Linked DNA regions of Mus musculus. The protein of the gene in region 3 interacts with the protein of the main gene of each other region in a pairwise test. Links are inferred from orthologs where the notes say so. Each region holds a gene or a part of one and is shown on either strand. Other genes may lie near its edges.

What was found.
Region 1: the proteins of Crx (region 3) and M1ap interact in binary tests that used the Homo sapiens proteins (3 or more experiments, as listed by UniProt). The two-hybrid records come from large-scale screens. The link is inferred for Mus musculus from reciprocal best matches to the Homo sapiens genes CRX and M1AP.
Region 2: the proteins of Crx (region 3) and Larp4 interact in binary tests that used the Homo sapiens proteins (3 or more experiments, as listed by UniProt). The two-hybrid records come from large-scale screens. The link is inferred for Mus musculus from reciprocal best matches to the Homo sapiens genes CRX and LARP4.

Annotation. Positions count from the first base shown.
Region 1 is NC_000072.6:82,945,680-82,949,430, forward strand, and holds the start of M1ap (meiosis 1 arrest protein), read left to right. Parts: upstream 1-1,242; 5' UTR 1,243-1,273; intron 1,274-3,751. UniProt on the Homo sapiens protein: Required for meiosis I progression during spermatogenesis.
Region 2 is NC_000081.6:100,007,222-100,010,872, forward strand, and holds part of Larp4 (la-related protein 4), read left to right. Parts: intron 1-385; coding exon 386-507; intron 508-3,070; coding exon 3,071-3,239; intron 3,240-3,651. UniProt on the Homo sapiens protein: RNA binding protein that binds to the poly-A tract of mRNA molecules. Associates with the 40S ribosomal subunit and with polysomes. Plays a role in the regulation of mRNA translation.
Region 3 is NC_000073.6:15,877,103-15,880,853, forward strand, and holds the start of Crx (cone-rod homeobox protein), read right to left. Parts: upstream 2,854-3,751; 5' UTR 2,714-2,853; intron 1-2,713. UniProt on the Homo sapiens protein: Transcription factor that binds and transactivates the sequence 5'-TAATC[CA]-3' which is found upstream of several photoreceptor-specific genes, including the opsin genes.

The DNA.
Region 1 (3,751 bases), on a different chromosome or scaffold from region 3:
GGAGGAAGAGAGAGAAGAAAAGGGAGAGTAGGAGAGAGGGAGGGAGCAAAGAGGGAGCGAGAAAGGGAGGAAGGGAAGGAGAGGGAGGGAGGGAGGGAGGGAGGGAGAGAGGGAAGGGAAGGGAAGAGAAGAGGGAAAAGGAAAGTAAAAGAAAATACGTTTTAAGCCAGGTTGTGGTGCTCACACTTGTAATCACAATATTCAGGAGGGTCGAGACAGGAGGATTACTTGAGCAACATGAGTTTCACTTGCAGAGGATCCAGCGCCCTCTTCTGGCCTCTTCAGGCACTGCGCACTCAGCACACAGACATGCAATTAGGTAAAAACACTCATACTCGTACAATAACACTAAATAAACATTTAAAAGACAAAAACAAAAGAAACGAAGCAATGAGGCCATCTTTTTTTAACCTCAAAAACTTTTCATAGACAGACTCTAAATCTGTCCCTTGTAACTCATTAAAATCTTTTTATATCAGCCTCCCACCTAGAATATCTGCTTAATAGTATTTTCCTTAATTATTTCATGAAAGATTAAGAGAAGTAAAAATAATTCTAGTATTCCTACAGTCCAAATTGAGACATACATTACTTTAACAAATACATTAGCAATGCATTAACAAATGCCATTGGATCAGGCATGGTGGCATGCACCTGTAAGACCAAAAAACAGAGACACTGTAAAAAAAAAAAAAAAAAAAGGCAATTTTCTTTTACGAGGGGACAGGGGACACGATGGCCATTGTTTGTGCACTTCCATACCCAAATCATAGCTTACTGCATGGTACAGCTCACCACCAGGGTTACTGAGTAAGAGTTGGCCAACTGAAGAAAGTTGTGGACAGGAAAAGTTAAAGGCAAGAACACAGTAGATCTTGTGTTTGATGGGGGGGGGGGGGTACGAAGAGAAAGTTATCTTCACTATGTTTTTCTGAAATCTACAACTGCTCATGGACCCTAGAGGACTATTCTCAGGACACCCTAGAACTTGAGCGACAACTCCAGGAATGAAGCTGAGTGATTCCCGAGGTCCGGAGCTCGCGGGTGAGGGGCCTTGTGCAGTGAGATGGCCTGATGCCTCACACCCTGGGGCCACAAGCGGCACCAAAGTGATGTCTGAACTTGAGGAGCCTGAGGGGAAGAAGGCCCAGGCGGCGGGAGACTCAGTGGGAGGAGCCTCTGGGAGGGGCGGTGCTACAAGGGGAGGTCCCTATAAGAGAGGAACTCTGAGGCTGAGCCAGCGGAAGGAAGGCGTGCAGGTGCTGAGCTTGAGGTGAGTGAAGGGAACTTCTGAGACGGAGTGGTGGGTGCGCTGAGGGTGCTACCTGAAGAGGGACTCCAGAGAAAGGTGCCCGAAGTGGGGACTCTCTTCAGCAGGTACCTGAGAAAAAATTCGCCTGAGGGAGTTACCAGAACTCGGGGTTGACGGGTTGCCCCAGAAAGAGACTCCTGAAGGAACATGAAGGGAAGGTCTGAGGGGGGACACCAACCGGGTGTCTGGAGGCGTACCTTCCAATTGAAAAATAGTTGCCTAAGTGAGCGACTTAGGTTCTAGGCTGGAGCTTTGGAGCACTAGAGCGTTGCTTTTGTTTGCTGGGGAAGGGGTAACCAAGCAGGAAAGCCTGAGGGACTTGCCCTGGGGAAGGCATCTGAGGTGGACTCTTGAGGGAGCGGAGCCTGAGGTGACCATATCTGAGGGGCAGTGCCTGAAGGAGTTCTCTTGAGTAATCTCCTGAGGAGTTCCCTCGAGAGGCCGTGCCCGAGGTGAGCTTTCCCAGAGATGGCGCTCTCTCTAGGACCAGACAGCCTGACTGAATGGTAATAATGTTCAGTCTTCAGACCTCTGGGCTAAGGAAAGACTGAAGGGCTTGGGAGTCAGAATTGCGCCTCAGAGGTTGGTTTGAGAACACACCTTAGATCCGTGTATCTGGGCGGGTACGAAGGTGCAGCCCGAGAACTGCATCACCATCGCTGGGTCGGTGAAGTCCACTAGGGCTTGGTCGCTTGAGGGGTGACAGGACTAGAGAGGCCCAAGGCCTAAGACCCGCTCTGGCCAGAGCCCTCTGACTGACTGACAGAAGGAAGAATTAATTCATTCTCATTCTTTCATTCATTCATTCTTTCATTCATGCATGCATTCTTTCCCCCTCAATGTCGTGTGTGGGGGGAGGAGTCTGCCTGTCCCCCCCATCTCTGTCTCTGTCTCTCTAACTCTGTCTCTCTGTCCCTCTCTCTTCTCATCTGTCTATCTTTCTGTCTCTGGTCTGGAACTAAGGGTGATATCTCTGTTGGGGTTCAGGAATCACCACACAAAACATACAATCACTGATCTCAGTTAAGCAGAATAGTTTATGTGAGACATAGCTCAGAATTATCTGAAGTATAACAATGGACATCTTTGTCTGTTAGCTTATAAAGGGAAAAAACATGAAAACTATAATGAGTACAGGAAGTACTACCCAGTGGGCCAGCTCTGACTCAAGGTATTTTAGACATAACAACTCATAATTGACCTTTAACTTGATGGGTCCTAGGTGAAGCTTTGTAGAATTTCTTAAGATTAACAAACCACATAACATAACATAACATAACATAACATAACATAACATAACATAACATGGTATGTCATCAGCATGATCCTGTTCTGAGTCAAGTTATTCTTTTTCTTGTCAGTGGCTGGCAGGCATATTACAGCAATATGAAATAACTGTCAGGCATGGAACAAAATTGCTGCAGTTATGCTGGTGGAATCAGATCAGACCATAACAATTTCTGCCTCTGTCTTTCCAGAGCCAAGGTTACAGGTGTGACTCACTGAGCATGTTTTAACTTCTTCAGTAAGAAGGAAACAATGAGCTATGAAGGTCAAAGAAACTTTGCTTTTGTCTCCTCTCCCCCGAGGAAACCTTGACTTTTTAAAGACTCTTTTTAAAAACTATTAATTTATCTTTTTTTTAAAAAATGGAGGATAGTGTCCATGAAGGTAAAAATTCTTAAAACCCACAAAAAGTATGGTTTTGTTTGTGCTACTAGGATGGAATCTAGGACCTGCACATGCTAGACCAGTATTCCCCCACAGGACAACACCCTTCTGACAACACACATACACACACACACACACACACACACACACAGAGAGAGAGAGAGAGAGAGAGAGAGAGAGAGAGAGAGAGAGAGAGAGATTTTAATGGAACCCAACTCAAGGGAGAACAATTGAATCATTTACAGAACAGTAAACTGTCCTTAGAGGTATAAACACACAGCACAGATGTAAAGGAACCCAAATCTCGTGAGAAAATCTTAGAAAAGAAAGTATTCAAAGAGCTGGAACCTGAATGTGTTTGTGATGAAAGAAGCCTGAAGAGTGAGCAGCCCGCTGCAAGCTTCAAGCCTGGCTCAGGGATGGAAAACACAAAGACAAAACAAAAAGACAAAAACTTGAAGCCAGGATGAAGAGTTTTAGATTTTGATACAAGCATAGTTGAAGCCCATTGAGAGATTTTAGTACTAAAGTAACTTGTTTTAGGATGGTTCAAGTCCAGCTCTGGGGTTAAGCGCATTACATAGGAAAAAACATTCAGGGGATGTTCTTATAAAAGGAGAGTTTATGGGGTCCAAACACTTCAGATGCACTATTTGACTATGTCTGAGGAGAGGTATCTCTTACGTCACCTGAAACATAGCCTTCCAATTGTAGATTACTGTGAGATCTGAAAATGACTGTGCAGCCACAGTGGTACAAGAGCATTTT
Region 2 (3,651 bases), on a different chromosome or scaffold from region 3:
GTTTGTGTGAGAATGTTGGATACCCTGGAACTGGAATTACAGACAGTTGTGAGCTGGCATGTGGGTGCTGGAAATATAAATTTCATTGTTATTAGGGCATATTTTTATTTGTTTTGGATGGCATGAGTAGAACTGGTTGCTAGGTCATAGGATAATTGTGTTTAAGTGTTAAACCAGTTAAATCATTTTAACATTGCTACCTTTAGTTTCTTCCTGCCCCTGCCTTCTTAAACACTGGGATTTCAGGTGTGGTCCACTGTTTGCCGTGATTATGTCATGTCTTACAGTATAAAGCACTGTGGTGGCGTTGCTGGTGAGTGGTCACTGAGATACTTTAGTACTTAGTGTACGCTTATTAAAGTGACTGTTCTCTTTCAACCCTTAGGACAGCGAGGACGTGCGAGTTAGTTGCCCAGTGCCTGCAGAGGACGGACAGACAGACTGCACTTCTGCGCCGCTCAGCATAAGTCCTAGTCCTCCGTGTACAGCTGAGCCTCCTGTGTTAAGGTACATTTTCTCTTCTTTTCAAGAATAATAACACAACCTTTTTTTGTTTTGTTTTGTTTTTTTTTTTGGTTTTTCGAGACAGGGTTTCTCTGTGTAGCCCTGGCTGACCTGGAACTCACTTTGTAGACCAGGTTGGCCTCGAACTCAGAAATCCGCCTGCCTCTGCCTCCCAAGTGCTGGGACTAAAGGCGTGCGCCACCACCGCCCAGCTATAACACAACCTTTTATTTTCCTTTTTTTCTTTTTCTTTTTTTTTAAAAAGATTTATTTATTTATTATCTCTAAGTACACTGTAGCTGTCTTCAAACACACCAGAAGAGGGCATCAGATCTCACTATGGATGGTTGTGAGCCACCATGTGGTTGCTGGGATTTGAACTCAAGACCTTTGGAAGAGCAGTCAGTGCTCTTACCTGCTGAGCCATCTCTCCAGTCCAAACAACTTTTTCTTAAGCTGGTACTGCATCACTGAATTTTAGCCCTTGATAGACTGGGAGAAGAGGATTGCAAGCTGAGTCCAGTCTTGGCTGTCCAGGGAGACCCTTCTCAAGGAGTGGGGATCAAGCCAGTTTGATAGCTCAGCAGTTAAGAGCATTTACTGTTATTGCAAAAGAGCCATGTTTAGTTTCCAAGTACCCATGTCAGGCAATGCTCAACTGCCTATAACTCCAGCTCCAGGGAATTCCATAACCTTTTGGACTCATGTGGACATAAAAACACAAACCATTTACATAATTAAAATATAAATCTTGGGCTGGAGAGATGGCTCTGATTTATATTTTAAGTCCCGAGTTAAAATACCAGCAACCACATGGTGCCTCACAACCATCTGTAATGGAATCTGATGCCCTCTTCTGGTGTGTCTGAAGACAGCTACAGTGTACTCACATAAAATAAATAATTCTAAAAATAAATAAATAAATCTTTAAATTTGTCTATCAATCTATCTATCTTGGGCTTGAGAATTGGCTCATCAGTTAAGAACTCTTACTGATGCTGCAGAGAACTAGAGTTCAATTTCCAGGACACAGTGGCTCACAACAATTTTCATTGGGACTGGCCACACATGTGGTGCACACATAAAGACAAAAACCATACACATAAGAAAATAATAACGTAAATGACCAGAAATACAAACTTTAATCCCCAAACATGAAGGGTAGAGGCAGGTAGAAAAAAAGGAAAATAAAAGGTTGTGTTATAGCTGTGTGTGGTGGTGCACGCCTTTAGTCCCAGCACTTGGGAGGCAGAGGCAGGCGGATTTCTGAGTTTGAGGTCAGCCTGGTCTACATAGCAAGTTCCAATAATTTCTGCTGCTCCTACATAGTAAGATCCTTTCTCAAAAAACTAAATGTAAAATTTAGATAATAAAAGAGATGGGGAGAAGGGGGGGCCTCAACTTTGCAGAAAACAGTTAGGGCCTGCCCACAGCCAAGGGGGAAGCCCACTCTGTAGAGTACTGCAGAGGACTGTCCCCTCCTACTTAATGTCAGTGCCACTAAGCAGGAAACAGAAAACTCAGGGTGTGAAGACCTTACCAGCTACTAGCTAGCGTGCAAGGAAAGGGGACCATCCTGTGTCTTGGGAGCCAGGACACACAGGCAGGAGGCAGAGGCTCCTAGTTTAGTTAAGGACAGGAGGCTGAGGCCCAGGCTCAGGAAGAACAAAGGGGATTTTGGAGGTAGGCTTTTTTATCGAGTTAAAAAACAGGCACATTGTCCAACTTCTCCCTGTGGCCCCCAAGCTGCTGGCCCAGCCCCTGACACTATCCCTCTCCCTACAAAAGCAAAGGGACTAAGGATGGGGGCAGAAGATGGGAAGTTCTGAGGATAGGAAATGTCTGGGTGGCCAGAGAGCACCTGTGAGCAAGCCACCAAGCACAGGAAGGACAGGTTTGAAGCTGCTCGTCCCTTTGTGGGACAGGGCAGAGCCAGGAGGTGCCCGAGAACATTCTAGCTCAAGCACAGAACCCCATGTAGCATGACAGAGGACAGGGGACTGCTTTGGCAGGAGGCAAAGGGAAGCAGAACTAGGGTATGAAAAGGTCCTGGCAAGTGCCACTCAGCCAGCTCACTCCAGCTGCTTCCAGGAAAGGCCCAGCCTGGCTCATCTCTGGGGCAAAACCCTGGAATCCAAAGGGGGTTTGGGGGAAGAGGGGTGGGCAAGGCTTGAGACAAGTGAGCTGCTCTCATATTCCTTCTCAGAGGACCCCATTTGAGCCCTGTAATCACCAGGCCCAAGGCAGGCAGAGTGAATGCACTTCTTGGAGAGCAGAGAGAAGTTGGACCCACAGGTCAGCCCTGGAGCAGCACGCTGCTCTTTACTCCCTGAGGAGTAAGTTATATAGTATTCTTTGATTTCTTTAGTTTGATCATATCCTCCCTTTTCTCTGTTCCCAATTCTTCTGTTTTTATAATTCACTGAGTGCAGTAGACATGGGCTCTTCACTGGAGTTTGGATCCCATCCCCTCCCAGGGACACCACTGAGGGAAACTGACTCCTCACCCCATCACCCTCACAGCTCAATTAGACTAAGTCTAATACCAAACTTGTTTTTTCTTTAGCACGACTCAGCAAGAGCAGGATCAGATGGAGGACTCTGCTGTTCCAAAGGACACTCTCAACCCAGTAGCTGTGCCAGTGTCTTCTCCAACTGCCACAAAGCCATCCCCGGCAAACACGGCTTCACCTTGCACTAGTAACATAAACCCACCGAGAGCTGTGGCCCTGCAGGTAATGTGAAAAGTTTATATGGGAGAAAGTACACTAGTTTACACGATAACCCTTTTTTGTTTCTTTCCCCCTCTACCCCCTCTTTTCTATCTGTGCCACTTTCTTTCTCTCTCTCTCCCCTACCTACAAACTCACACCTTTTCCCCGTGTCAAGTTCCCTGGCCTCGGTCTTTGGGTCCAGCAAACTTGCCTGTCTAAGAGCAGCTTTCCAATAAACCCGTATTTAATAGAATCTTTTAAGAAAAAGAAAACTTTAAAAAGAAAAGAAAAAACAACATGGCACATTGTCATGTACACACAAGACATAGTATAAGTAACATAACATTTGAGAGCTCCAAATATGACTATAATTCTATTGCTTTAGAGGATAAGGAGGGAGATCTCTGAAATCAAGGGTGGCCATAATTACAGA
Region 3 (3,751 bases):
ATGGCTCAGCAGGTAAGAGCACTGACTGCTCTTCCAAAGGTTCTGAGTTCAAATTCCAGCAACCACATGGTGGCTCACATCCACCTGTAATGAGATCTGATGCCTTCTTCTGACATGTCTGAAGACAGCTACAGTGTAGTTATGTATAATAATAAATAAATCTTTGGACCAGAGAGAGCAGGGTTAACTGGGGAGCAGAGATCCTAAAAATTCAATCCCATCTGTTCGGCTACAGTGTACCCATAAAAGTAAATTAAATAAATAAATCTTTTTAAAAGATAGATAGATAGATAGATAGATAGATAGATAGATAGATAGATAGATAGATAGACAGACAGATGCAACAGTAATATCAAACTTTGCTGTTTCTGGGATTTTTTTTTTGTTACTCTCTTTGTGTTGGTGTTTTTGTATATGAGTGTTTTGTCTGCATGTATTTCTATGAACACAAACACACCTGGTACCATCAGAAGAAGCCAGAAAGCAGTATTGGGTGCCCTGGAACCATAATTACAAACAGCTGTGAGCCCCCCTGTGGGTGCTTGGAATGGGAATCCAGGTCTCCCTGAAGAGCAGCCAGTACTCTTAACCACTGAGCCAGCCAACTCCCACATTTTTATAAAGACAAGGTTTCCCTTTGATATAAAGTTTATGAAGTCCTGGCTAGCCTAGAAATTACTCTGTAGGCCAGGCTGGCCTCAAACCAACAGTGATCTGCCTGCCTCTACCTTCCGAATGCTAGAATTTAAAGGCATATACCACTATGTCCTGCTACATGTCTCTGTAATTTTTTGGACCACAGACACTACAAGAGTTGCCTCAGCCATTGAGGAAAAAATAAACAAAAAAATGTCAGTAATATTGGTGTTTTCCTTCAAAACTCAACGTCTGTAACTTGCGTCCTTAGAAACATTAGCCATCAGCCCTGCTCTCGACCTCAGAGAAAGAATTCCAGTTTACTATGTTGAGCTGGCATTGAACAGAAATTAGCAGCCACATTGGCCTCAAAATGTTCAGCTCAATGCAGGAGCTGGACCTAGACCCACACATCTGTAGCAAATGTGCAACTTGGTGTTCGTGTGGTTCTTCTATCAAGTGGAACAGGGGCTGTCTCGGTTTCTGTTCCCTGCCATTGGATCCCCTTCCCCACTGTTTGGACTCCCTGGATGAGGCTCAGTGGGTCAGGATGTTCCTAGAACTGCTGAAATGTCCCAGAGTGGGGTGGTATCCAAGGGAGTCTCCCCTTCTTGAGGGAGAAGGGGGAGGAGAAAAGAGAGAAGGGATATGTGAGGAGGAAGACAGGAGGGAGAGGAGCTGTGATCCAAATGTAAAGTGAATAAAAATATAAATAGTTTTGAAAAAAGAGAAAAATGTTAAGTGTAATTTTTTTCCCATTTGTATGTGAGCAAATAGCTGTGTAGAACATGTTAGCGCTTATCTTTTGACTGAGCTACAGCCCCAGCCCGTGTTTTAACTAATAAACAATCTAATAGGACAGGGATCCATCCTGTCAACAGTCAAATAGCACCCAAGTGCCAGGCAGTGAAAAGAACCAGCGTTCTCCAGGGAGAGATGATCTATGTATTGGTATATACACAAACGAAGAGGAAATCTCAGGGGCCACAGGAGGGATCAACCATAAAGACACTTGCCACCAAGCCTAAAACCCTGAGTTTGATTCCTAAGAATCAAACATGGTGGAAGCAGAGAACTGACTCAGACTCCAGCAAGTTGTCATCTGACTTCAACAAAGGAGTCAGAAGACACACACACACTAAATATATATGCATGTATACTTATATAATGAATATATACCTTACAAACAGAGAAGAAAAATCACAAAGAGTTAAAAAAAAAAACAAGCGGGAGCAGTAGTACACGGGATCAGGAGTTCAAGACCAGCCTCTGTTACGGAACAAGTTCAAGACCACTCTATGCTCCAAAAGACTCCCTCTCAAAAAACATAAATTAAATGTAAAAGGTTTCTTTCGGGGGAATGGGGAGAAGACTCAACAGATAAAGCACTGTCTGTGCATACGTGAGGATCTGAGTTCAGAACCCCAGCACCCAGATAAAAGCTGGGCACACTATAACCCCAGCATTGGGGGAACAGGGACAAACAGATACACAGGGCTCACTGTCCAGCCAGCCTCTGCTCCACAGGGAGATCCAGGTTCAGTGAAAGACCTTGTCTGAAATAGGCTGGGTGTGGTGGTGAACACCTTTAACCTTAAGTACTTGGGTGGCAGGGGCAGGAAGATCCATCAGATGAAGGCCAGCCTGGTCTACATAGAGAGGTCTAGGAAAAAATAGCAAATGGAAGTATTTAGGAAGACAACCAGTATGTCTATCTCTGTCCTCCGAGGTTGCTCTCTCACATGGACACACACACACATTGTAGACATACATACACACAAACACATGAACATGCTCACACACCATGGATGTGTGCTTAGATGAGACATTCCACCTCTGAATGTCCTCAGAGTATAAAATCCATTCATCCTAAAGCCACTCCTGGATCCCAACAACTAGTCCCCAACTGGTATGACTTTACTCCCTCCTATCATGGTCCTAAGTGACCTGTTTCCCTGAACACCTGCTGGAATCTCTACCCTATGTTAATCTGTTCAGAAAGCATCACAAGACCCATCTTCATGTCAAACATGGGTGAGAATAAAATATTCTCGCAGCCTCTCCTGGAAAGACTCACCTTTGGAAAGGAGAAATGGGGACTCTCCTGGATGTTCAGGTACTGGATGGTGTCATCAGACAGCAGAGGCTAGAGGAAATAGGTCCCCTCACACGGGGCGACTTTAAGCCTGGGCTGGGAGTGATGTCATCTATTGTGGCCTGGATCTGGAAGGGTAATCCCAGGGAAGGTGGGGGACTCACTGGGCAACAGGAGGTGACATTGGCTGGGGGAAGGGCACCGTCTGCTTAATCCCACCACCCCCACAGTGACATCTTGGCAATTAGGGTTGATGAAGAAGGGAGGGAAAGCCCAACTCCTGCCTGCAACCAGGAGCCCCCACTTCTCAGGGAAGTCTTTCCTTGGGTCTAAAGGGTATTCCTCCAGCTTCAGCTACTATCTGAAAAGAAATGTCTTCAAAAGCACAGAAAGAAGTGTACAGTGCTCCTGGGAGACAGAAAAGAAAGGCACAGGACTTCCTGGGTTGTTCTTTGTGGCCCAGGCTAGTATTGAACTTTTAAGTCTTCTGACACAGCTAGAATAACTGGGAAGAGAGATCTGTGACCCCACTGAGTGAACTAATTCAAATGTGTAGTTCTTGATGGTTCTCCCTTTTTCTGCCTCAGTTTCTCTCTCTTTCTCTGTGCCTCTCTGTCTTTCTCCCTTCTTCCCTCACTTCCTCAGGGCTCTCTATATCTCTGTCTCCCCATTGCTCTGTATCTTCTCCATTGCCTCTAGTCTCTGCTTCTCTATCTTCATCACTATTTCAGACCCTGCCTCTCTGAGTTTCTTTGTGTCTTTGTCTCTATGCCTCTCCCTGAGTTTCTATGTCTCTGTCAATCTCTGCCTGTGTCTCTGTTAGACTCTCTGTCTCCCACTGTCTCTCTGTCTCTCTGTTAGTCTCCATCTGTGTCGGACTCTACCTCTACTCTCTGTCTCCCGCTATCTCTCTGTCTCTGGCTGTCTCTCTGCAGCTCTGGTTCTGGCTCTTTTCCTCCCTGTCTCTCTTTCTCTCTGTCTTTTTATCTCTGAGTGTCTCTGTATGTCTGACTCTTTCTC